7 linked regions of the Macaca mulatta genome follow. The protein of the gene in region 7 purifies or fractionates together with the protein of the main gene of each other region. This does not show direct contact. Links are inferred from orthologs where the notes say so. Each region holds a gene or a part of one and is shown on either strand. Other genes may lie near its edges. The genes, in order: RB1, PPARG, CREBBP, STAT3, SMARCA4, RELA and SP1.

Evidence for each region.
Region 1: the proteins of SP1 (region 7) and RB1 purify together in Homo sapiens (affinity purification with western blotting; 3 studies listed by BioGRID). This does not show direct contact. The link is inferred for Macaca mulatta from reciprocal best matches to the Homo sapiens genes SP1 and RB1.
Region 2: the proteins of SP1 (region 7) and PPARG purify together in Homo sapiens (affinity purification with western blotting; 3 studies listed by BioGRID). This does not show direct contact. The link is inferred for Macaca mulatta from reciprocal best matches to the Homo sapiens genes SP1 and PPARG.
Region 3: the proteins of SP1 (region 7) and CREBBP purify together in Homo sapiens (affinity purification with western blotting; 5 studies listed by BioGRID, with this or other methods). This does not show direct contact. The link is inferred for Macaca mulatta from reciprocal best matches to the Homo sapiens genes SP1 and CREBBP.
Region 4: the proteins of SP1 (region 7) and STAT3 purify together in Homo sapiens (affinity purification with western blotting; 4 studies listed by BioGRID and IntAct, with this or other methods). This does not show direct contact. The link is inferred for Macaca mulatta from reciprocal best matches to the Homo sapiens genes SP1 and STAT3.
Region 5: the proteins of SP1 (region 7) and SMARCA4 purify together in Homo sapiens (affinity purification with western blotting; 3 studies listed by BioGRID and IntAct, with this or other methods). This does not show direct contact. The link is inferred for Macaca mulatta from reciprocal best matches to the Homo sapiens genes SP1 and SMARCA4.
Region 6: the proteins of SP1 (region 7) and RELA purify together in Homo sapiens (affinity purification with western blotting; 7 studies listed by BioGRID and IntAct, with this or other methods). This does not show direct contact. The link is inferred for Macaca mulatta from reciprocal best matches to the Homo sapiens genes SP1 and RELA.

Annotation. Positions count from the first base shown.
Region 1 is NC_133422.1:27,657,672-27,661,171, reverse strand, and holds part of RB1 (retinoblastoma-associated protein), read right to left. Parts: intron 2,612-3,500; coding exon 2,498-2,611; intron 2,405-2,497; coding exon 2,241-2,404; intron 628-2,240; exon of another isoform or gene 496-627; intron 315-495; coding exon 284-314; intron 1-283. UniProt on the Homo sapiens protein: Tumor suppressor that is a key regulator of the G1/S transition of the cell cycle. The hypophosphorylated form binds transcription regulators of the E2F family, preventing transcription of E2F-responsive genes.
Region 2 is NC_133407.1:151,249,918-151,253,345, reverse strand, and holds the end of PPARG (peroxisome proliferator-activated receptor gamma), read right to left. Parts: intron 948-3,428; coding exon 700-947; 3' UTR 501-699; downstream 1-500. UniProt on the Homo sapiens protein: Nuclear receptor that binds peroxisome proliferators such as hypolipidemic drugs and fatty acids.
Region 3 is NC_133425.1:4,948,303-4,950,950, forward strand, and holds the end of CREBBP (CREB-binding protein), read right to left. Parts: coding exon 699-2,648; 3' UTR 501-698; downstream 1-500. UniProt on the Homo sapiens protein: Acetylates histones, giving a specific tag for transcriptional activation. Mediates acetylation of histone H3 at 'Lys-18' and 'Lys-27' (H3K18ac and H3K27ac, respectively).
Region 4 is NC_133421.1:66,665,884-66,669,383, forward strand, and holds part of STAT3 (signal transducer and activator of transcription 3), read right to left. Parts: coding exon 3,429-3,500; intron 3,313-3,428; coding exon 3,177-3,312; intron 1,788-3,176; coding exon 1,735-1,787; intron 1,517-1,734; coding exon 1,422-1,516; intron 1,306-1,421; coding exon 1,166-1,305; exon of another isoform or gene 1,080-1,165; intron 688-1,079; exon of another isoform or gene 653-687; coding exon 440-652; intron 1-439. UniProt on the Homo sapiens protein: Signal transducer and transcription activator that mediates cellular responses to interleukins, KITLG/SCF, LEP and other growth factors. Once activated, recruits coactivators, such as NCOA1 or MED1, to the promoter region of the target gene.
Region 5 is NC_133424.1:11,797,205-11,800,704, reverse strand, and holds part of SMARCA4 (SWI/SNF-related matrix-associated actin-dependent regulator of chromatin subfamily A member 4), read right to left. Parts: intron 2,967-3,500; coding exon 2,858-2,966; intron 2,433-2,857; coding exon 2,331-2,432; intron 1,450-2,330; coding exon 1,317-1,449; intron 1,157-1,316; coding exon 1,014-1,156; intron 1-1,013. UniProt on the Homo sapiens protein: ATPase involved in transcriptional activation and repression of select genes by chromatin remodeling (alteration of DNA-nucleosome topology).
Region 6 is NC_133419.1:8,727,088-8,731,079, reverse strand, and holds the start of RELA (transcription factor p65), read right to left. Parts: upstream 2,801-3,992; 5' UTR 2,472-2,800; coding exon 2,410-2,471; exon of another isoform or gene 2,163-2,409; intron 1,938-2,162; exon of another isoform or gene 1,825-1,937; coding exon of another isoform or gene 1,818-1,824; exon of another isoform or gene 1,792-1,817; intron 1,345-1,791; exon of another isoform or gene 1,203-1,344; coding exon of another isoform or gene 1,176-1,202; intron 1,118-1,175; coding exon 934-1,117; intron 866-933; coding exon of another isoform or gene 833-865; coding exon 684-832; intron 1-683. UniProt on the Homo sapiens protein: NF-kappa-B is a pleiotropic transcription factor present in almost all cell types and is the endpoint of a series of signal transduction events that are initiated by a vast array of stimuli related to many biological processes such as inflammation, immunity, differentiation, cell growth, tumorigenesis and apoptosis.
Region 7 is NC_133416.1:60,526,017-60,530,086, reverse strand, and holds the start of SP1 (transcription factor Sp1), read right to left. Parts: upstream 2,801-4,070; 5' UTR 2,762-2,800; coding exon 2,755-2,761; intron 2,251-2,754; exon of another isoform or gene 2,054-2,250; coding exon of another isoform or gene 1,972-2,053; intron 1,415-1,971; coding exon 1,257-1,414; intron 962-1,256; coding exon 1-961. UniProt on the Homo sapiens protein: Transcription factor that can activate or repress transcription in response to physiological and pathological stimuli.

The sequences.
Region 1 (3,500 bases), on a different chromosome or scaffold from region 7:
GTATATATGTATGTATATACACAAATGTATATATGTATTATATAACCTCAAATGAATATTTAGAAAAGTTTTGAAGTTCACCAATTAGGAGTATGATTTGAGATTAGGAGTATTTTATATATATATATATATATATATATATATAAAAAAAATAAATTTCTATGCAATATGCCTGGATGAGGTGTTTGAATAATTACATTTAGAAACTCGAATTATTGAAAGCTTTAATTTCTTTTATACTTACAATGCATACTATTATATTTCATAGAAAGAAAATACTCACCCCAAATGATTCACCAATTGATACTAAGATTCTGTCAAGTTAAGATGAAATGCCAATTAGTAATAAAAAATCATATACAATTTTGCAGAGACGAGCATAGATACATCATTCTGAACTATTAGGAATACTAAATTAAAGGTTACCTCTACCCTAGAACTACTGACAAACTATATTCATTTGGGAATTATTGTAACAGTGCCCATTTAATCATATACTCACCTAGTCTCTTAGTTTTACAGCAAAAGTTATAAGTCTGCAAGAACATATTCTGCTATTGCCCATATTTAGGGAGGGCAAAGGAAAGTTTCAAGTTTACCCCTACTGAGTTCTTCGTAAATCAATGGGTAAGTTATCAAATTTCTTTCATATTTTCTCATTTAAAATTCAAGTAATATTTGGAAAAAACTTACAATATTAAGTAATAATCAGAATTCTAATTAGCCTCTATATTGATATAGTAAAGGCTATCATATATCATATATGGAGTCAGAAATCTTTATTAGTCTGTCTTTATTTGAACCATATAATTTATGTTCTTGATAATAAATCTGAAGAACATCATTAGACTGACATGACTCAACAAAGATTTGAAAACATGAACACGGAACTAGTGAATATAGAGAATTTTTTGTCCTCTAATTCCTTGATAAGTGGCCATCATTCTACATATAATATTTGATTAACCAGAACACCTAAATGTACCAGGTAGTGTTAAGATGCTCTCCTAATGCCTGGTCAATGATTTATTAGTTAGGATGTTCAGAATGTGACTTTCTTGCTAAAGAATACCAACACAGAATTTATTTCACTAAGGATCAGCAAGTAGCCATCATTATCACCATAATATGGACTAATTATCACTATTAAAGAAAACTACCTAAGTATACATTTTCATATAGTGGCATGGAACAATGTAAATTTTCTTAAATAGACATGACGTGGCATCTTAGCAGCTTAGAACAAGTAGTAGGTATCAGTACACAGATATCCAACTACAAGAACACCAAATAAATAAAGGATGATACAGAGGCACATGAGAGCATTTGTATCATATTGCCAATTATTTCTCACTTCATATTTTTCTGTAGAGTTTGAAATTTTTATAATGAGTACGTACTACTTAAATAATTAAATATACCATGCAAATGTTTTCTGAAAGGCCAACATATTCCCCTTTTCTTGCCCATTAGGTACAACCATATGGGCTGATAATTTCTGAGATGAGACTACATTAACTATACTAGCTAATCTGCCTCCTACTTTACACAAATAAAGTCAGTTTCAAATAGCCCGTGATAACATATAATTAGTCAATTGAAGCACTTCAAAGCCAGAGAGCACTTGTGGTTGGATGTGGAAGATAATATAATGATTTGTAGTTGCACACAACCTTTCATCTGAGCATTTAAAACAGCTTCATACTCATCATTTCCCTGATCCACAGCACCCTTGTGAAGTACAGATAGAGACCTGCCCAAGGTAAAGTGGTAAAGTGGCCGCCAGCAGGATTAGGGATGGACCTCTAAAGACTTAATTGACAGTAATCTACATTTAATATAACAAGCAAAATGAACAAAATCCACAGGAAGCAAAATTTACAGGACATCCAATAAACTACAAACTAAAAGTACTCAACCTAAAGTAACCTGCTTTGTTTAGCAGATTGGCTACTTAGAAAAATATGAAAGTGTTTTGAAACATATAACCAAACTGGTTCTCAAATTGTTTACAAAAGAAGATACCCTAACAGTCAGGAAATCTGATAAGTAAATGTGTAAACTCATCCAAGTAAATAGATTTTCTTTCTCTCCATATTCTTATTATGTTACTTAAATAAGCAAATAGAGTTTCAAGAGTCTAGCTTATTTGAAATGAAGAAAGCTTTATATTTTTTATTCTTGGATCAAAATAATCGCCCTCTCATTCTTTACTACTTCCATAAAGAGAAAACACACACCTTGATCTTGGAGTCATTTTCGTTGGTGTTGGCAGACCTTCTGAAATTTTATATGGACTCTTCAGGGGTGAAATATAGATGTTCCCTCCAGGAATCCGTAAGGGCGAACTAGGAAACTTGTAAGGACTTCGAGGAATGTGAGGTATTGGTGACAAGGTAGGGGGCTAGAGCAAAAACAGAAAAGTAGACCATTTATTTAATGTTTTGGTGGACCCATTACATTAGATTTTTCCAGTCAAAGGATACTTTCGACCTACCCTGGTGGAAGCATACTGCAAAATATTTGTTTTCAGTCTCTGCATGAAGACCGAGTTATAGAATACTATAATAGAATCATACTCCTCTTCTTTGATCAAAACACGTTTGAATGTCTGAGAAAGAACAGTAGAAAAAAAAAAAAGTAAAATTTACTTGTTAAATGAATTTTAAAATTTCTACCTTTAGATTTTCTTTTCTAATAGTTTATAATACTTTTTGACTGATAAGAAGCACATATTATAAAAGAAAAAAATAATCTAAAATTACTTCTTAGGCTTGGATTATAGCTGCTCTCCGAGAAGTGAAATGTCACAGAATGATTGAGAGAAATAGCCAGGCAGCAGCAGATGGAATAGCTGGCCATCTAAGAAGACAGGAGTAGACAGGCTAGTAGAATGGAAAGCATGATCAAAGGGAATCAAAGGGCCAGAGCTGAGCGAAAGCCAATAACATTATGTATCAATATTTGGACTACATTCTCTGGCCTGTACCTCCTGGTATTCCCCCCAATCTATAAGGGTTTAAGTATGCATTACTCAATTGCAAGAAGTAGACATTTAGTAAAGGCACTATATTTTAGTGATAGATTTCACTCAAATTTTAGGTAAAAACACAGAGGTTATATCAGATGCCTCTGATATATACAATTAAAATGATTGAATTTAGAAAATAACTTCAAACATACAAACAAAAATGACTTGGTTTGTATTACTTTTGAAAACTCCAATAATAAATGGGAAAAATATCCCACAACTCACTTTCCACAAAACAATATGAAATATGTCATACCAAGTATATTTTACTACTACTATTTCTCTAAAGGGAAGGTAAACCAGAAACACAAAATGTGTTTATACTGAACATTTTTATTATTTATTTGCAAGGCTGCATTTATATTGGCTTTTCCTATAAACTAATACAAATAACTTCAAAGAATATCTAATGTTCTATGACTCATGTCAAGTTTATTACAAATACCTGCCTATTACAGGGATAAAGTAT
Region 2 (3,428 bases), on a different chromosome or scaffold from region 7:
CAGTGGCATTGATTAGCAGGTAGTATATGAATAGGCTGCTGGTGGTGAGTGAAAATCTCGGTTAGGATTGTGGAAGAAGACTGAATTCTGGGTAAGCCCAGGGATATACTGCATATCAGCATATCCAGGCTACAAAACACATGCTCTGAGCCGTCTGATTCTGTAGTTCCCCTTCCCTTCTTAGTTCTGATTGTTAAAGCAGATGTAGAGTTCCGAAAAGTTGTAAATTGAGTAAAAAATTAATTTACTGAGAATGGAAGTGTATCAGCAGTTCCACTCACATATTTTAAAATGTCTAAGAAAGAAAAGAAAAATAAAGGAAGAAGGAAAGGAAGGAAGGAAGGGAGGAAGGGTGCGAGGGAGGGAGGGAGGAAGGAAGGGAGGGAGGGAGGAAGGGAGGGAGGGAGGGATCGAGGGAAGAAGGAAAAGGGGGAAAAAAGAAAGCCCAGGGGCTAGGGTGGGAAACACACAAGACTCAGTAAATGAAATACTATCAGCAATTTCATAATATGGTAATTTTTAATATTAAAAGTAAATTGTAAATGTGTCTTTATAAACAATATGCATAAAATAGATCATATTCTAAAACCGTTTCTTTTTAAAATGCTTTTTCACAGTAAATTTCTTAGGTGTCAGATTTTCCCTCAGAATAGTGCAACTGGAAGAAGGGAAATGTTGGCAGCGGCTCAGGACTCTCTGCTAGTACAAGTCCTTGTAGATCTCCTGCAGGAGCGGGTGAAGACTCATGTCTGTCTCCGTCTTCTTGATCACCTGCAGTAGCTGCACGTGTTCCGTGACAATCTGTCTGAGGTCTGTCATTTTCTGGAGCAGCTTGGCAAACAGCTGCGAGGACTCAGGGTGGTTCAGCTTCAGCTGGAGCTCCAGGGCTTGTAGCAGGTTGTCTTGAATGTCTTCAATGGGCTTCACATTCAGCAAACCTGGGCGATCTGGGGAAGCACAAATGGAAAACACAACACGGGGTTCAGTCAAAAAATCCTCTGGGCCCCGCCTCGGAGGCCTAGGGAGCTCTACCAAGCAACTCATCCGTGGTTTTGGTTTGTTTTGCTTTGTATCTTAAATAGGTGGGGAGCAAGGGCAAGCAGATAATGGGTGAGAACTGAGGATGTAATCAGAACCAAAATAATCAGAGGTCTTTGCAGGGGCTTTTTCTGGCCAGGATGGAATCTGTGTGGTCAGCTGATGGAGCGTGGCATCAAAACAATTTCATTCCCCAAATTAAGTTTCCTCTGCTAACATGTTTCTACTCAGAAATTTCCTTTTTCCTTTTTTTTTTTTTTGAGATGGAGTCTTGCTCTGTCTGGCTGGAGTGCAGGCTGGAGTGCAGTGGCACGACCTCAGCTCACTACAACCTATGCCTCCCGGGATCAAGCTATTCTCCTGCCTCAGCCTCCTGAGTAGCTGGGATGATAGGCGCTCACCACCACGCCTTTCTAATTTTTGTATTTTTAGTAGAGATGGGGTTTCACCATGTTGGCCACGCTTGTCTCAAACTCCTGACCTCAAGTGATCCACCCGCCTTGGCCTCCCAAAGTGCTGGGATTACAGGCATGAGCCACCACGCCCAGCCAGAAATCTTTTCAACTTCTGCTCCTTCCTGATGAATCCATGTTTTATAGATTCTACTCAGTTTCTTATCATAGCTTCAAATATGCTCTTTTCACAAATATGCTTTTAAAAAAAGGCTTGTCTTTTTGCTTGATTTGCTTATGCTGTGTTTGCTTAATATGGCGTATTTCCAAACGACAAAACACAGTTTTAAAATACTGATACATTTTAACAGAGGTTTCTTTTGAGTGGCAAGATTGCAAGCAATTTTCACTAGTTCTTCTTTAGATTTTTTCTTTAGTTCAATTTGCAAATGGTGAACTTAAATACCTTTTAAATATTTTACTTTTTTCTTTATGTAGATCTTGTTAGATTTATTCTCAAATACTTTATAGCTTCTATTGTGAATGGACCCTTCATTTTCATTACATCTAATATATCCCCGCTGATGTGTAGAAAACTAATTGATTTTAGTATATTGAAACGATTCCAATTTCCTGAACTTTTGTCAGTTCGAATAGCTTTTAATCATGGATTTCTACTTTTTTTGGATAGATAATTGTATCAGCAATGGTAGCTATTTATTTCTTCTTTTGCATCATTAACCTTTCTCATTTCCTCTTCTTGCCATAGTGTGTTGGCTAAAACCTCCAATATGGGATTAAATAATAGCAGCAATTCTTGTTTTATTCCTAACTTTGAAGGAAATGCTTCTAATGGTTTATCAGCAACTATGATGTTTGCTATAGATTATGGAGGACATGTTTTACTCCTGGCTTATCCAGGGGTTTAAAAATTTTAATTTGTTTTAGTCAGGAATGTTGTTGAATTTTTATCAAATGCTTTTACATTTCTCTATCTAAAGAGCTATGATATCTTGAAGAGTTATGGTTTTATCTTAACCTAGCACAGTGAATTACATTAACAGAGTTCCTTATACCCTTGTAGTCACTTGCTAATATTTTATTATAGGGTTTTTGTACTTGTAGGTGGTACTGATTTAGAATTATTTTGGGGGCCATTCTTTGCCTGTTTTAGTAACAATGTTAACTAGCCTTATACACTGAGTTGAGAAGTTTGCCTTCTGTGTCGACATAGTAATGATCTGTTCCCTGACGGTTTCTTAGAATTTGTTTGCAGAACCATCTGAGCTTAATGATAAATCTATCATTATCTTTAATTTTTCTTCCATAGTTTTTATCTATTCAGGCTTTCTACTACTTATATGGTAAAGTTTTAGTAATTTATATTGGAATAAAGTTGTAGATGATATTGTCTTAGAATATGAAATGTATTTATTCATGCCCCTTAACTTAATCTTAACTTAATGCTTTTTCTTTTCTTTTTTTTGAGACAGAGTCTTAATCTGTTGCCCAGTGCAGTGGCATGATCATGGCTCACTGCAGCCTCCAACTCCTGGGTTCAGGTGATCCTCCTGCTTTAGCCTCCCAAGTAGCTGGGACTATAGGCATGAGCCACCACACCCAACTAATTTCTAAATTTTTTGTAGAGGTGGGGTCTTGCTACATAGCCCAGACTGGTCTTGAACTTCTGGCCTCAACCAATCCTCCTGCCTCAGCCTCCCAAAGTGCTGGGAACATAGGCATGAGCCACTGTGCCCAGCTCTTAGAGCTCTTTATTTGTGCATTCTCTCATTAAAAAAATCTGATTTGGCCAGAGAATGGCAGGAACCCGGGAGGCGGAGCTTGCAGTGAGCTGAGATCTGGCCACTGCACTCCAGCCTGGGCGACAGAGCAAGACTCCATCTCAAAAAAAAAAAAAAAAAAAATCTGATTTGTCAAAGGTTTATCTAGTTTTTGCTTTTTTAAAAAAACATAACTTTCGGTTTTTTAATCAAGTCT
Region 3 (2,648 bases), on a different chromosome or scaffold from region 7:
AGAGTGATCATCCCTATTTTTTGTCTAAAACCAGTTTTATCAGAGAAACAAAGCAACAATTTCTACATCTGCAAGACAAGTTTGGCTTCAGCCATTATGTATAGATAGATGTGTGTGGGTGTGTGTACGTGTGTGTGCACGCCGGAGTCAATTCCTATCGTCCAGGGGTAATACTGGGAGACGCCCACAGAGTTCACTATAGAAAAAAATCTTCCCGAAACATCAGAAAGTTATCGGGATACATTATAAGCTTGCATTATTTCAGGAATCAGTTCTGAATATTATTTTTCTTCTTACTTTTAAACATAAATGTTTAAAGTCTTGAAAATACAAATAAAAAATATGAATATAATGAACTTGTTTTTCCCGTTAAAAAAAGGCATGAGTCACCAGCAATGACGACAAAAAGAATCCAAACAAAACCCCCCTCCCCCCAAACAAAAACAAAACGGAAAAAAAAAGAACCCCCCCCCAAAAAAGAAAAAAAAAAAACCAAAAAGAAAGAGACCAGATATTTAAATCAACTGGTTTTTAACAAAAAAATATATTCTTTGTATTGTCTCTTTAAACATCAATCCACCCTTCCATGGCTTGGCAGTCGCAGTTCCATCTAGGAATAAAAAAAACCTAGATGCCTGGATTTTCAGTACAAAAGGTCCAAGAACATGAAAGGGAAAAAAAGTGATGCTCTCACAATGCTACAAGCCCTCCACAAACTTCTCTAGCGTGTCCCCCGTGGTGTCCCCGACCAGGGACAGTTCGCTGGACAGCGCGCTCCTGCTGGGGGTGTTCAGCTGGGGGAGCATTGCACTCTGTTCGGGGTTCCCCAAGTGTCCCTGATCTATGGAGCTGGCCATGGTGACTGCAAGTCCGGGGTGGGGGGAACCAGTCTGGGGTGAGACGTGGTGTGGCGAAGGCTGGGGCTGTATCCGTGGTGATGGGCTGGAATGTGGAGGCTGGGACTGGGGCCGTGGAGACTGGACAGGGGCTGGAGACCGCACCTGGTTACTAAGGGATGTGGCGATCTGCTGGCCAGGGAGATGCGAGGCCTGTGGCTGTCCTGAGAGCATGTGTTGCTGGGGGCTCATGGGGTTTGGCTGGCCTGGGGACCCAATCTGCTGCTTCATCTGCTGTTGCTGCAGAATCCGCTGCTGCAGGGCTTGCTGGATGTTGGGGGTGCTGTCTGCCCCCAGCCCCGGCTGCCCCATCTGGCCAAGCTGTCCCATCTGAGCCGCCATCTGGCCCATGGAGCTGCCCTGGAGGGGCAGATGCTGCTGCATGCGCTGCTGCTGCTGCATGGCTGGTGGGTAGCCTCCGGGTCCTTGAGGCTGCTGGAACTGGCCGTGCCCCGCCATGCCCCCAGCCATGCCGGCACTCCCTTGCTGCTGCTGCTGCTGTTGCTGCTGTTGCTGCTGCTGCTGCTGCTGCTGCTGCAGCAACTGCCTCCGTAGCATTTCTCGGTACTGTGGATTCATACTCGCCATGTTGGGGTTGTGTCCTGGGTTCATGATGTTCAAGGCCTGGCCCTGGGGGTTCAGGCCTCCCATCGCCTGCTGCTGTGGAGGCACACCGGGCCGCGGCACACCAGCCTGCATGGCATTCAGGTTCTGCAGGCTGGGCTGCTGGTGCATGCCAGGCTGGGGTTGCATGCCGGGCTGGGACTGGAGGCCAGGCTGGGGCTGCATGCCAGGCTGATTGGCCACGTACTTGGCTGTGCGCTGTTTAATAAAAGCTGCCATTAGCTGCGGGTTTGATTTGAGAATGTTCAGCACCTGCTGTTGCTGCTGAGGGGAGCTGGGCGACTTCAGGGTCCGCAGCAGGTCTTGGAGAGCGCTGGGTGAGATGCTCCTGGGCGGCTGCACGCTGGGCATCCGGGGCCCAGCCACGGCCGCCTGGGCCTGCATGGATATCACAGGCCTGGGCAAGCCTGGCATGGGCTGCTGCTGGGGAAGGGGTGCCTGCTGCCACTGCCCGGGAGGCATGCTGGGCATGACGGGCCCGCTCACCTGGTTGGGTCGGGGCACATTCAGACTCACGGGGGCCATCTGGCTCCCCGGGGTCCCCATGCCCGTGCGCCCTGGGGGCATGCCGTTGTTGATGTTCACCCGGTACAGATGCTGCTGCTGCTGGGCCTCACGCTCGATCTGCCGAGCCGCTTCCACCGCTGCAGGAGGGGGCTGGGCCGGGGGCGGGGGGGCCGGCACCTGGCTGGTAGGCTTCCCTGTGGACACCGTGGTGGGGGGCTGAGTCCGGGCCACGCTGGGGAAGCCAGCTGGTGACATGCTCACGGGTGAGGGTTGGGGCTGGGCGGGGGGCTGCGGCGTCTGGGGCGTGCTGGGCTGTTGCGTGGGGGTCCCGGGCGGTGCTGAGGTAGGAGAAGGCAGACTCTGCTGAGGCACGTTGCGGGTGTTCATGGTGGCCATCCGCCGGCGCATGAGCTGGGCCTGCTGCAGGCGGTGCTGGATCTGCTGCTGGCGGAGCTTGTGTTTAATGTTGAGGCAGAAGGGCACGGGGCATTTGTTTTCTTGGCAGTGCTTGGCGTGGTAGCAGCAGAGGGCGATGAGCTGCTTGCACACCGGGCAGCCCCCATTGGTCTTGCGCTTGCAGCCCTTGGTGTGCTGCACCACCCGCTTCATCTTCTGGCAGGA
Region 4 (3,500 bases), on a different chromosome or scaffold from region 7:
CCTCTTTATTTGTATTTTTTGACACAGTGTCTCACTCTATCAGCCAGGCTGGAGTGCAGTGGCACGATCACCGCTCACTACAGCCTTGAACTCCTCGGCTCAGGTGATCCTCCCACCTCAGCCTCCCAAGCAGCTATGACTACAGATGCGTGCCACCACACCGGGTAATTTTTTTGTATTTTTTGTTGTCCAAGCTGTATCCCCTCTTTAGACTCATGCACTCTCTGTGGAGCAGGAACTGCACTAGTCTAACTGATTCTGATTCTCCTCTCAAATCCCATCGGTCACCCCAACAAAAGCACTCACTACAGTTCTTTCCCATAAGGAGAAATAATGATCCCCCAGGTTATTCAGGCATTTGCCTATCTATCCTCCAAGGATCCCCAAATTTCTAACTTTTCCCAAAAATTAAATGCCAGGAACATGGAAAATCAACAACTACCTGGGTCAGCTTCAGGATGCTCCTGGCTCTCTGGCCGACAATACTTTCCGAATGCCTCCTCCTTGGGAATGTCAGGGTAGAGATAGACCAGCGGAGACACCAGAATATTGGTAGCATCCATGATCTTATAGCCCATGATGATTTCAGCAAATGACATGTTGTTCAACTGCTGCTTGGTGTATGGTTCCACGGACTGGATCTGGGTCTTACCTGTCACGGGACATGGGAAGGAAAGATCATGGAACCTACAGCTAGGTCATCTCAGAGAAAACTGCCCATTTTTTCTTTTCTCGAAGGGGAAAAAACTTAAGCCACCCTAGTGTTGAGACCCTGAACACACTGTTCAGTGAGTGGCCTGGCACGGTGGAAATGTTCAGGCTGGCTTCTAATTTAGAAGAGGCTACCAGTTGGGTCATAGAAAATAAACTTGAATGTAACTACTTGTGTAAGATATATTAACAGGACTAAGTAGAAAAAGGGATGAAGAATACAACTTAAATTGCAAATTTCTCAACAAATAGTCACTGGAGCAAGCAAAACAAAGACAAATCAATCCTTCAGCTAGAAGGATTTAGAAGTCACCCAAATGTGTTTTGCGAGTCTGAGTGAGGCAGGGAGTCGGTGCCATCTCCACCACAAGGGGGCAGTAGGTGCTTGGAACTAGCAGCGGTGATGAGGCCTCAGCAGCCGCCAGCAGGTGGGGTGGGTGGGAGCCTCCCTTACCACTGATGTCCTTCTCCACCCAAGTGAAAGTGACGCCGCCTTCTTTGCTGCTTTCACTGAATCTTAGCAGAAAGGTGCCTGGAGGCTTGGTGCTCAAGATGGCCCGCTCCCGCTCCTTACTGATAAAGCCCATGATGTACCTGGAGCCAAGGAGGAGGAACAGTGTTGTTACTGCTAACAGGGCATCCATCCCCTGCCACTGGCTTGCTGAGAGCAGGGGACTTGGTTACATCTGTGCACACTCTGTCCAACCTACCCTTCATTCCAAAGGGCCAGGATGTACTTTTTCACAAGGTCAATGATATTGTCCAGCCAGACCCAGAAGGAGAAGCCCTTGCCAGCCATGTTTTCCTGCAGAAAAGAGTAATGGGAAAGCCAAGTCTGCTGCCATCCCAGCCTTTCCCTTCCTAGGGGCACAGTGCACCACCCAACTCCTCAGGCCCATCTACCCTCAGGCAGGTCCTACTGGCTGCTGGACCAAGAGTTCAGGGCCTTCAAGCCAGAGCCCTCCACGACAGCCGTGCAGGTAGGCATTCCCATTCCCACGAGAATTTTACAAGATTGCTTACTTTGCAAAATTTAGCCCATGTGATCTGACACCCTGAATAATTCACGCCAGGTCCTGAAGGAAAAGAAAAAGAATCAACTAGTACATTTTCCGCTTGGGGTCAAGAGGTTATTTCTTAAAGCAGAACACACACACATTGGTCCCACAATGGGCCACAAAATCATTGGCTTTCACATCTTTGAACGTGGCCACCGTTGTGTGTGTGCACACACGAGGACAAACACTACCCCATCATTTGACCCACTTTTGTTGTTGGGTAGCCCAGCACGGATAGGGGGTGATGTAACAAGTCCCCCTGCTCTTCCCAGCCTCGGGTGGCGGGCTGGGGACCAGCAGCAGCACTAACAAGCTGACATCAGGTGTCAGACAGGTGTATTTGGTGGCAACAGCTTTATTAGGACAAAGCTACTTCTAGCCCAGGTAGCACATAAAATATTCCACTAATTATTATTTTTTTTTTTGAGACGGAATCTCGCTCTGTCGCCCACCCTGGAGTGCAGTGGTGCAATCTCGGCTCACTGCAAGCTCCACTTCTTGGGTTCTCGCCATTTTCCTGCCTCAGCCTCCTGAGTAGCTGGGACTACAGGCACTCGCCACCACGCCTGGCTAATTTTTTGTATTTTTAGTAGAGACGGGGTTTCACTGTGTTAGCCAGGATGGTCTTGATCTCCTGACCTCATGATCCACCCACCTTGGCCTCCCAAAGTGCTGGGATTACAGGCGTGAGCTACCACGCCTGGCCTCCACTAATTATTTTTTAAAAACCTAGCCTAGGCCGGGCATGGCGGCTCACACCTGTAATCCCAGCAATTTGGGAGGCCGAGGTGGGCGGATCACGAGGTGAAGAGATGGAGATCATCCTGGCCAACATGGTAAAACCCCATCTCTACTAAAAATACAGAAATTAGCTTGGCGTGGTGGTGGGCGCCTGTAGTCTCAGCTACTTGGGAGGCTGAGGCAGGAGAATTGCTTGAACCCAGGGGAGGCAGAGGTCGCAGTGGGCCGAGATCGCACCACTGCACTCCAGCCTGGGCAACAGAGCGAGACTTGTCTCTCAAAAAAAAAAAAACAAAAAAAACAAAAAAAACCTAGCCTGTAGTTTATTAAAGAAATAGACAGGGAATGTCAAGCCTTTAGTGCCACCTTCCAACACACATTTAAAAGATCTTCTAAGGTTAGTTGGAGTGGGTGAATGAGACAGCAACCAGGAGAAAAGAAATCCACCTCCCACCTCAAAAATGATCACCTCGACTGAAAACTGCAAACTGTCTCTGTACCCCAACTCCCCAACTCGATGGAGCCCCTGTTTCCTGGCACCAGCACAGCACCTTGCTCAGGAAAGAAACATGGCCTAACGCTCAGTAGACATGACCCAAATGAATAGCCCTGTGGGCCGGATCCCTTTTCTGGGCAGGCGGGAGGGAGAAGGGGTTAAACGCAGACCCAAGAGTTTCTCCGCCAGTGTAGTCAGCTGCTCGATGCTCAGTCCTCGCTTGGTGGTGGAGGAGAACTGCCAGCTCAGGACCTCGGCCACTTGATCCCAGGTTCCGATTGGGGGCTTGGTAAAAAAGTTTACGTTCTATTGGAAAGAACACATTTGCTTGTTTAGATGAGGGATGGTGCTCATTGTCTGTACTAGGTACCCATACATCGCAAGAGATCCCGGGGTACCAACTAAAAGGAGGGGGTACTAACCTTGGGGTTGTTGGTCAGCATGTTGTACCACAGGATGGACGCCCAGGCATTTGGCATCTGACAGATGTTGGA
Region 5 (3,500 bases), on a different chromosome or scaffold from region 7:
AACTTAGCCGGGCGAGGTGGCAGGCGCCTGTAGTCCCAGCTACTCGGGAGGCTGAGGCAGGAGAATGGCGTAAACCCGGGAGGCGGAGCTTGCAGTGAGCTGAGATCCGGCCACTGCACTCCAGCCTGGGTGACAGAGCGAGACTCCGTCTCAAAAAAAAAAAAAAAAAAAAAAATTTTTAAACAGCCTGGCATGGGCCATAAAACACCCTGCTCTGGCTTGGGCAAGAGACACACCATCACAGCCCATGGCCCTCCTGCCTGGAAGGCCACCCCTCCCCATGAGGACTTCATGAATGTCCTCAAAGGTCACATGCCTCTTTTGTCAGACTGATTTCCAGGCACTGAAATTTGCTGCTTCTGTGCTGACAAAATGGCATTCACCAGACTTCAGTGGGAGCCAGGCCTGAGTGGGGGCAGTTCCCTCATCCATGGAGCCTCCTTGCTTTGCATAAGAGGAAACTGAAGCTTGAGAAGCAAAGTGACCTGCCAGGTCCCACAGCCAGAAGGGCCAGAGACAAAGGTGAAGATTATTTAAAGCCAGCAAGTGGATCTGCTCAGGCTTCCTACTGTCCCCCAAAAACTATCCACTGTGGGTTTGGCATTTCTGCCCATTCTCTACAACACTGAGGAGACAAGGCACTGCCTGGTTGGTCCCCAATCCTAGCACCTCCCACTCGACCCTACTCAAGCCCTGGCCTCCCCGGCCTCAGCCCAGCAGCCCTGGTGCCATGGGACCGCCTGTTGCCTGTCCTGAGACCTCATATGTCCCCCAGTCCCTAGACACCCACGGGTACTAAGAGTTGGTTCCAGGGTCACACAGGCTTGGGTTTCAGTGGCAGCCCTGCCACATATTGGCTGTGTGACCTGGGGTCAGCCACGGCAGGTCAAGCCTCAGTTTCCCTACCTGCAGCATGGGGGAGTAAGAGCACTGCCCCGCAGGGCTATCCTATCAGGGCCCTGGGATGCCTCCCGCCACCCACCAGCCCTGCCTGCTCGGGGGCCCGACCTCACCTCCTCTTGTTCCTCCTCACTGTCGTCATCACTTACGACCGGCTTGGCTCGGGACCCTCGGCTCGGTCGCCGCCGGCCGCCCTTCAGCCGGTCCTGTGCTTTCTCCTTCCGGCCAAGCTTGATCTTCACTTTGACAGACCGAGCTAGAGGGGACCACGAGGGAAAGACAGCCTTGAGCTCTGGGAATGCAGCACCCTCACAGCAAGGGGTGTCTGGGAGCTGGGAGGGCTGTGAAAAGCTGTGACCTTGGGGGCTCTTGGGCCAGCGTGAACCCCGGCATCCTGAACCCCCCCCGGGACTCACACTCAGATTCGGAGCCTTCCTCCTCGCCCTCTTCCTCCTCCTCACTCTCCTCGCCTTCACTGTCATCCTCCTTCTCAATTTTCTGCCGCACGCTGGTGAAGACTGACTGCAAGACGATGGAATCTTCATAGATCTGGGCGGAGACACCAGGGGCTTGAGTGGATGGGCCTGACTGGAGGGTTGCCTGCCCGGCCCTGGCCCCAGCCCCAGCCCCAGCCCCAGCCCCAGCCCTGTGTTGTCCCTGGACAGCTGATCAGTGGCCAGTGCGAGCCTCAGTGGGTCGGGGCTTCAGCCCACCCAGGGTGGAAGGCCCTCTCCATGATCTTCCTCCACAGGTACCCCAGAGAGCATCAGGCTTCTGAAATGCTCCGGGGTGAAAGGTCAGGCACACTGGTTTGGAAATGGCTGCAGGTGCCTCCCTCCTTCTGCAGAATCTCTGAGGTCTGCAATAACATTAGAAATGCATGTCCCTTGTTGAAGCCAGCATCTTCCCCAAACGCATCCAAGTCAAGTATTTTTTCTGAGAGGCATCAATCCCAAACACACTTAAGAAAAGTTTGCCAAGTTGAGGCTGTGTATGTGTCAATTCTATCACAGGAAAGAACACACCCATAGGATTCCTCTGAAGAGAGTGTGCCCCAGGGAATTTAAAACAAAATTCCAACAGACAGAGGACTCTGAGTCTATTTCTTCTGTTGTGCCTATCTTTATTTTCTTTGGTAAATACGTACTGCTTTTGTAATTGCTAAAATATCCCAAGTTGTTGGAAATTTAAATTTTTTTTTTTTTTTTTTAAAGACAGGGTCTTGTTACATTGCCCAGGCTGGTCTTGAACTCCTGGCCCCAAGTGATCCTCCCGCCTTGGCCTTCCAAAGTGCTGGGATTATAGGCACGAACCACCACAGCTAGCGGGAATTGTTTTTAACCCATCAATTCAGAAAGGAAGCAGGGGCGGGTTGGTTCAAAGCCCAGCTGTGGGAGTGGCCCATCCCCATCCCCCAGCCGTGCCCTCACCAGGGAGCCCTCCAGGTTGAAGGTCTGAGCGTTCTGGCACAGCAGCATGACGTCCTTCTCTAGGTCGTTGAGGCTGCGGTATTTGTGGTTGCGGATGCGCTCCTGCAATGGACGGGAGGAGCAGGTCTTACCTCAGGACCCCGCCTCGCCTGCCCGCAGGTCCCGCTGTGTGCTGGGGACCCCGCGGGCCAGGATTCCTCGCGCCTATGAGGATGTGGCTGAAGCCCCAGCCTTGGTAACCCGGCCCACCAGGCATGGGAACTGCATGACTGAGGCCCAGCACTGAGTGAGCAGGACCTTGAAGGAACACCCAACACCAACTGCTCACTGACATCCCACAGGACACCCCCAACCCTTACAAGGAACCCCAAAAGCCCACGACCAGGTCCCTAACCAGGCATCCCAAGGCTCTGCCCAGGCAGTTTCTGGTCATTCCGCCCACACACCACAGCTCTCGGATGGGGGTGCCCCTGGGTCAGACTCCTCCCGCGGGCAGATGCACGGCACAGGCACAGCGTCAGTGTTACCTTTATCTTCTTGAAGTCCACGGGCTTGCGGATGAGCTCGTAGTACTCCGGCAGCTCCTTCCGCGAGGGCAGCTGGATGAAGACCTCACTGAGCTGACGTCCACTGCTGCTGCAAGGCAGAACCGGCAGGCGTCACCCCTCGGCCCGCCCACCTGGGAGCCCCTACTCCACCTCAGCAGGTCCCCACATTGAGGACAGAGAGGATGAGAAATTCAAACTTGGCTCAGGACCTATTTCTTGCACTTTTTTTTTTTTTTTTTTTTTTGAGACGGAGTTTCGCTCATTGCCCAAGCTGGAGTGTAATGGCGCAATCTCAGCTCACTGCAACCTCCACCTCCCAGGTTCAGGCGATTCTCCTGCCTCAGCCTCTGGAGTCACTGGGATTACAGGCGTGCGCCACCATGCCAGGCTAATTTTGTACTTTTAGTAGAGACAGGGTTTCTCCATGTCGGTCAGACTGGTCTCAAACTCCTGACCTCAGGTGATCAGCCCACTTCGGCTTCCCAAAGTGCTGGGATTACAGGTGTGAGCCACCACACGTGGCCTGCACATGTGCTTTCTTGTAGCTTCCGGAACATTCCCCAGCGACAACCACACACACAGGCCTGTGACGCGGTTTTGTTTTTTTTTCCTTTGAGACGGA
Region 6 (3,992 bases), on a different chromosome or scaffold from region 7:
CTGGGGACAGAGCAAGACTCCGTCTCAAAAAAAAAAAAAAAACACGACAAGGTGTCGCTCTGCTACCCAAGTGTCGTGGTGTAATCATAGCTTGCCATAGCGGTGACCTCCTGGGCTCAGGTGATCCTCCCACATCAGCCTCCCAAGTAGCTGGGACTATAGGCACAAGTCACCATACCCAGCTAATTTCTTATTTTTTTGTAGAGATAGGGTCTCACTATGTTGCCTTGGTTAGTCTTGAACTCCCAGGCTCAAGAGATCTTCCTGCCTTGGCCTCCGGAAGTGCTAGAATTATAAGCATGAGCCACTATGCCTGGCCTGTATATTTTTTTAAGGCCTGTTTCTGTCAACTGCAATGTCACCTCCAGGGGAGAGTGTTGGTTCAGTGGTTTTCTTTCTCAAACAAGAGACATGACTCCAAGGGACTTGTCCTTCCAGCTACAGGGGTCAGGGATTCAGAAGTGATTAGGGACCCATCCATATCCCTTGGAGCTCTTATCTGTGCTAGAGTAGAGGTACAAATAGATCATTTCAAGACAAAGAGAGTTTACTTGCAGAGCTGAGTCAGAGCAAGAAGTAAGCAACTCTGCCCTGTGTCCAGAAAGGAGTAACACTGTAGCGGCTACTTCATAGCCCGCCTCCTGTTCCCTCATGCTGGGCCTCCTAGCCTGCAGGGAGCTCACCTGTGGATGCAGCGGTCCGGGCAGAGCTCAGCCTCATAGAAGCCATCCCGGCAGTCCTTTCCTACAAGCTCGTGGGGGTGAGGCCGGTGAGGAGGGTCCTTGGTGACTAGGGAGATGCGTACTGTCCCTGGTCCTGTGTAGCCATTGATCTGTCCAAAGTACAGAGGCCCAGACATCCAAACCTGACTCCCAAACACAGAGGGCTGGGGTTCCACAGTCCCTTCCCCGCACACCCTGGTGCAGTGCTGACCTTGATGGTGGGGTGGGTCTTGGTGGTATCTGTGCTCCTCTCGCCTGGGATGCTGCCCGCGGAGCGCCCCTCGCACTTGTAGCGGAAGCGCATGCCCCGCTGCTTGGGCTGCTCAATGATCTCCACATAAGGGCCAGAGGCCTGGGCTGGCTCTGCCAGGGGACACCGCAGGCCCATTAGACAGCTGCCCCCGCTGCCCTACCCCAGGGAACACCTCCCGGACTGCTGCGGGGGCCACTTACCTGCCGGGAAGATGAGGGGGAACAGTTCTGAAAGGGGAGGGAGATCAGGGTCAGCACACACCCACTGCCCATCCTCACAAGGGAGTATCTGCTCTCCACAGAGAAGAGAAGCCAGGCTCCCTCCCAGGGGAACTGAGTAAGGACCTGCTTCCTAGAACCTGCGGTGAAACTAAGGAGTGGAGGAAAGGAACCAGAAACACCTGCTTCTTGAGGGAAAACGGGGTAAGGAATCCTTCTCCCGAGGGAAGCCGAATCAGGGCCTGTTGTACTTTCATAAGGAAAACTGAGGGAGGGCACGCCCCACCTCCATCCAGAGAGGAAACTGAATCAGATGCGTTCTCCCCTAATAGGGAAACGAAGCCAGAGCTGCCCCCATGGACGGTGTGGAGGGAAACTGAGTCAAGGCTCCCTCTGCTCCCCCACCCAGGGAGGATGCTGAGTCAAGGGCCCCCCTCCACCCAGAGGGGAAACTGAGTCAGACCCCTCCCCGCCTGCCCCGCCCCGCGCCACCATCCGGCAGGCCGACCGCTCCCTGCGCAGCGCCAGTCGGCGCAGGAAGGGGCGGAAAGCGGCGCGGGGCCTCCCGCCACAGCCGGGGCGGTCCCGGCGCGGCCACCCCGCGGGGTCAGAGGGCGACCTCACCGTCCATGGCCGGGGTCCCGGGGGCGGGGCCGGGGTCGCAGCTGGGCCCGCGGCGTGCACTACAGCCGAGCCATTCGCCAGAGGCGGAAATGCGCCGCGCGCGCCCGCCGTCGCGTCACTGCCCGGAATCCGGCCGCGCCTGCGCGCTGCCCCGCCGCCGCCCGGCGAAGGGGCCGGGAGCAAGTGCGCGCCGCGCGGAGGACGAAGAGGCCGCGCGCACAGCCGCTGCCGGGGGCCGGGGCCAAGTGCGCGCGTCGCCGGAGACGAAGAGGCTGGTGTGCCCGGTGGTTCGGCTAGCTCCCGGGTCCCGGCCCCGCCTGGAGGGCGGGTCCGCCGATTACTCACTTTGTTTTTAGGGGATTTCAGGGCCCCCTCCCACCGATCGGCGGAGTTTGGTGATGTCACTCTGGGCCGGGTCTGGAGCAAAGCCCGGGCTACGGGGCTGCGGCCGCCCGCCCCGCGCAGGGAAAGGCCCAGTCGGGCCTTCTGCTCCGCAGAGGCCGGGTGGTTGAACTCCACGCCGGTTTCCTCATCGCTAAAGGTGCCTTTCGGTGGTGACTGTCTCAGAAGCACGTTAAAATGTCCAACCTACCCCACTCTAGATGCGGCTGTAGGGGAAGGGGAGCGGCCGGACCTCCCCCTCTGACAGTGCATCAGGGAGCTTTGCGGAGCCTGCAGCCCGGATGGGACAACTTGAGGCCCTCCCGCTGGCGAGCTGGCCGAGAGCTCGTCCCTCTCCAGCTAAAGCGCCAGCTTACTATGCAGCCAAACTGCCGGCCCTCAGCGGCTGCAGGAGCAGGGGGTCCCCAGGGGTAAACCCCGGAGCTTCGTCTCTGAAGCCTGGCGCTTGTATCTCAGAAGGTCCGGAACCCACAGGGGACACTCGAATCAGCAGGGCCACAACCCCCAACCCCACTGCCCCCGCCTGTGTTTGCCCTGGACCTCCAGCTAGGGCTGACCACTAATTCTGTCATGTGACCCCACAGTGCGGGTAGCTCCCCCAAGACCAAGCCCAAGGCGCGTCCTTGTGGGGGCTGGGGCTGGCGCAGCCCCACCTCAGGCCTCATCCCCGAAGGAGGATGCTCCAGGGGGCGGAGTCTTCTCCAGATGGAGAAAGACTTATTTTCTCTGAATTCGTCTTGAATTAGGAAATCATGTGGGAATTGGAAAAGACTGGAAATTCTGACTTGTTTCCCAGGCTCTGAAGAAACAGGAAGAGAAAAGTGAAAATAGAGTTAGCACCCCGCCCACTCATTTCAGTTTCTCCAGTGGCTGGCCCTGATTAGAAAAGTGTTTACTTTTGGCAGGGGGCGGGGAAGGCCGACTTCAGTTGAGCGAATGGATGACATACAATTATCATTAAACCTTGCATGGATCCTCTTCTTAAAATTCATGTATATTTATAACTTTTAAATTAATACCATAAACACCCGTGTACCCATTGCAAAACTTAAGGGACCACCACCGTGCAGAATTCTGCGTTGTATTGTATTGTATTGTATGTATTTATTTTTTGAGACAGGCTCGCGCTCTGTCGCCCAGGCTGGAGTGTAGTGGCACAGTCTTGGCTCACTGCAGCCTCTACCACCTAGGATCAAGCAATCCTCCCACTTCAGCCTCCTGCATAGCTGGGACTATGGGAGCACACCACCATGCCTGGCTAAGTTTTTGTATTTTTTTGTAGAGAAGTGGTTTAACCTTGTTGTCTAGGCTGTCCTTGAACTCCTGAGCTCAACTTTCCTTCCACCTTGGCCTCACAAAGTGCTGGGATTACAGGAATGAGTCACCACGCTGGGCCAGAATTCTGTATTTTCTTAAATTAATTAATTAATTATAACTAGAGATGGGTCTTGCTGTGTTGCCCAGGCTGGTCTCAAACTCCTGGGCTCAAGCGATACTCACACCTCAGCCTCCCAAAGTGGAATTACAGGCATGAGCCACCACGCCTGGGCCAGAATTCTGTATTAAAAAAAAAAAAATTACTCATATCTGCATGCCTACACAATATATTGTTTGGTTTTCCTTAGTTTTGAACTTTTTTTTTTTGAGATGAAGTCTCGCTCTGTCGTCCAGGCTGGAGTGCAGTGGCATTCAGCTCACTGCAACCTCCACCTCCCGGGTTCAAGTGATTCTCCTCCCTCAGCCTCCCAAGTAGCTGGGATTTAAAGGGGCCAA
Region 7 (4,070 bases):
TCTGGTTTTGCTGGATGTTCAGAGCATCAGACCCCTGTAGCCCACTGACCCTCTGGGGTGTCTGGCCTTGAGAGTTGGTCCCTGATGATCCACTGGTAGTAAAGTTCATAATTCCCATGTTGCTGGTGGTAGTAGTAGTTGAGTAGCTATTGGCATTGGTAAAAAAGGAGCTGGAACTGGCTTGTGATGACACCAAGCTGGCAGAACTGATGGTAGTCCCTGAGGTGACAGGCTGTGAGCCGCTCTCCTGGGACCCAGAGCTGCTGATGGTGACTGCCTGAGAGCTGGGAGTCAAGGTAGCTGCAGAAACGCTGTTGACAGGTAGCAAGGTGATGTTCCCATTCAGGGCCACTGGTACATTGGTCACATACTGAGTCTGTCCTGAGAGTACATTATTAGCCAGGCCTTGGAGGGGGACAGCCTGCTGGAGTAGATTTGGCATAGCAGCAATGATGTTGCCTCCACTTCCTCGATTTGTGATAATCTGTTGGTTTGCACCTGGTATGATCTGTATTTGACCAGAACCATCCTGCTGCACTTGGGCCCCAGTGGCAGCAAACTGCAGCTGTTGCCCATCAACGGTCTGGAACTGTGGGATTACTTGATACTGAATATTAGGCATCACTCCAGGTAGTCCTGTCAGAACTTGCTGGTTCTGTAAGTTGGGAGTGGCAGCCACAACATACTGCCCACCAGAGACTGTGCGATTCTTGGAAGACTCACTGCCATTGCTGCCATTGGTACTGCTGCCACTCTGTTCCTTTGAGGTAGGGGTAGCCCCAGAGGAGGAAGAGATGATCTGCCAGCCATTGGCACCCTGTGAAAGTTGTGTGGCTGTGAGGTCAAGCTCACCTGTTCCCCCTGACTGACTCGGGCCCTGGGAGTTGTTGCTGTTCTCATTGGGTGACTCAATTCTGCTGCAAGTTGCTGCCAGCAGAGCCAAAGGGGATGGCTGGGACTCCTGGCCAAAAATAAGGGAGAGGAAAGGAGTTAGTGACACCCAGCTGCCAGCCTAGGGGGCAGTATACAACAAATAAACAGCAACGTAGTGCAGACAAGGAGCAAAAAACAGAAACAAAAAGCTGACCTATCTGTATTGCTGAAACTCCTGTCTTTGGGGATCTCCATACTCTTACTTCTTATCTATAAAATGGTTTTGATAAGCTCCCTAAAAAGCTTTCTATGAAGAGTAAGGCAATTATCTAAGAATATTTACATCCTCTCAACATCTTCCCCACTCTATTATTATCACTTACCTGCCCTCCTCCTCCTCCACTGCTGCTGCTACTGCCTGTGCTGCTACTTCGAGCCTGTGAAAAGGCACCACCACCATTACCACTGCCCCCATTATTGCCACCAACTCCTTTTTCAATCTTCACCACAGCTGTCATTTCATCCATGGAGTGATCTTGGTCTAAAACAATTAAAAAACAAACAACTTAAACTTGAGGGAAGAAAAGAGATGAGGTAGGAAGGATAAAAGGAGGCTATGATGAAATAGCAATGACTAACAGGAAGGCGAAAGGCGCCAGTATAAAGAAAATGGATTGGAGGGCAGAGGGGAGCTGCAGGGCATGCAGGACATGAACTAGGCTCAATGGTGCCAAAAGTGGGCCTCAATTCTCCCTTACACAAAATTAACTAAGAAAACATTCAAAAAGTGCTTTGGGGATAGGAAATGTGAAGGATGGTAGTCATGCTGAAAGAGTTTCAAAATAAGAAAAAGTATCCTAAGGGAAAAAAGGACAAGTAAGGCAAAAAACAATATGTGGGTGGATGGAAAGATTGCTAAAATTAAGGTTAAAAGAGATGGAGAGGCCAGGCGCGGTGGTCATGCCTGTAATCCCAGTACTTTGAGACGCTGAGGCAGGAGGATCACCTGGGGTCAGGAGTTTGAGACCAGCCTGACCAACAAGGAGAAACCCCGTCCCCACTAAAAATACAAAATTAGCCGTGTGTGGTGGCGCATGCCTGTAATCCCAGCTACTCCCGGAGGCTGAGGCAGGAGAATCGCTTGAATCCGGGAGGTAGCAGTGAGCCGAGATCGCACCATTGCACTCCAGCCTGGGCGACAAGAGCGAAACTCCCTCTCAAAAAAAAAAGAGAGAGATAAACAAAAACCCAAGTATTAAAAGTAACAAGAGGAGAAGGGAAAAAGAAATAAAAAGTTTTAGTAGGAAAACATTTGTGAATACTACTAAGGAACTAAAGGGGTGTACTGGTTAGTAGTCAGGAGGTTTCGGGGCGGAGGGCGGGCCCTGAGGGAAAGGGCGGTTTCGGGGTGAGGGGCGTGGAAAGGGCGGGACGGTGGGGCGGGGGGAAGGGAAATCTACGGAAAGTGGGGGGAGGAGGGCGCCGGAGCAGGCGGCGACCAGAGGACGGACCAGACAAGCGGTTGGCCCGGGCGGGGCCTTCACTGCTCGGGCCGCCCCCGCGGCTCCAGCCCCCGGCGGGAGGAGCCTCAGGCGGGCGGCCGAGTAGTGGGGGGTAAGGCCCGTCCCCCGTGGCCGGGGCGGGCAGGGGGCGGGCGAGGCCACGCTGCCCCCTCCCCCGGGGCGGGCGGCCCATCCCCCTCCTCCTCGGAGGCCCAGCCACTGCCCCGTCTCCCTCCCTTCCCTCCGCCCCGGGCGGGACCTAGGCCGCCGCCGCCGCCTCCCGCCCGCCCCCCCTCACGGCGGGGATCGCCCGGTCGGCCCTCGCGCGCGCCCCCTCACTCGCCTCCCACCCCTAAGCTTGGAGTGGACTCATCCTTACCGCTCATGGTGGCAGCTGAGGGACAAGCTCAAGGGGGTCCTGTCCGGGGGGGTTGGGGGGGGCCGGGAAAAACGCGGACGCTGACGAGGCAAGCGAACCCGGACCGGACAGGGAGGGGGGGGTGAGGAGGAGGGAGCAGCGCGCCACCAGCCCAACCTATGCCCCGCCCCTTCTCTGCTGCCCCGCCCAATGAGGGAGGGGGAAAGGTGGGACTTGCAGAAGAAAGACGGTGAGGTTTTCCAATGGCAAGACTCGCTTGCTCTCTAAGGCGTGTAAGACTAAGTTGCGTGCCTGGTGTCCGCCCAAAAAGACAGCCCTCTCAGTGTTAAAAGCCAATGAAAGATGCAGGAAGTGAAGATGGGCGGGAGCTGGGGATTATTGGCTTGGAAGGAAACCAGTCAACCGGCAGGCGGGCTCCCTGAGACATTGGGATAGGGAAAGGTTTGATAGGAATGACAGAACAACGGCCAACTAGAATCCGGGATATGCTTGGGCAAAATCCTAGTGGGAGGAGAGGTAAGAAGTAGACAGGAATAGGATAGGCTGAAGCTGATTAAAACCAATCAGAAATCAGGCGGGCAGCCAGGAAAGTTATGATTGGATTAAGACTGAAAAAAGACAGGAAAGGACGCATATTGACGTGAATTAAAAGCCAATTAAACGCCAGATTAACTCTGAGGGCGGAAACTTGGAGTGGCAGAGGAGAATTGGCGGCTCCCTAAGTTATTCAATCCAATGAGGGAACGAAGTAAGCCTGGCACCGCCTCCTAGTTGGCCAATGGGCGTTACCGGAGCCGCCCATCATGAGGGAGGGAAGAGGGCTGTGCCAAGAGGAGACCGTCGCCATATTGGCCCACCTCAGGGGACGTTGTTACAGTCATTAGGTGGGACGCTTTAGTGAAGTCTTGCAGCTCAACAGGTGTCAGAGCCAAGGCATTCGGCGCGCAGTTCCGCATCAACACTAGGATTTGTTTGAGTCTTCATTTAACTGCCCCTATAAAGTACCTCTCAAATCTTACCCGTTTCCCGGGTGGGCGGACAGGCGGGCAGATACCTCAATGTCGCTGCAAGCCCTGCGAGTGCAGCCGGAACGGGATTTGGGGACAGCGCTCACCAAATAAGTTAATACTGAGCTGACCAATATGCAGAGTCTCCGTAAGATTCCAGAAAACGCCATTTTGTTAAGTTCCGCCAGACAAAGGCGCTAACCACTTACGACTGGTTAACTTTTCAAGCTTTGAGGCTAAAGTGCGGATAAGTCACTTCCATTTTTCCGAGTTAATAGTAAATACCGCCTATGCATAAAGCAAGATAGT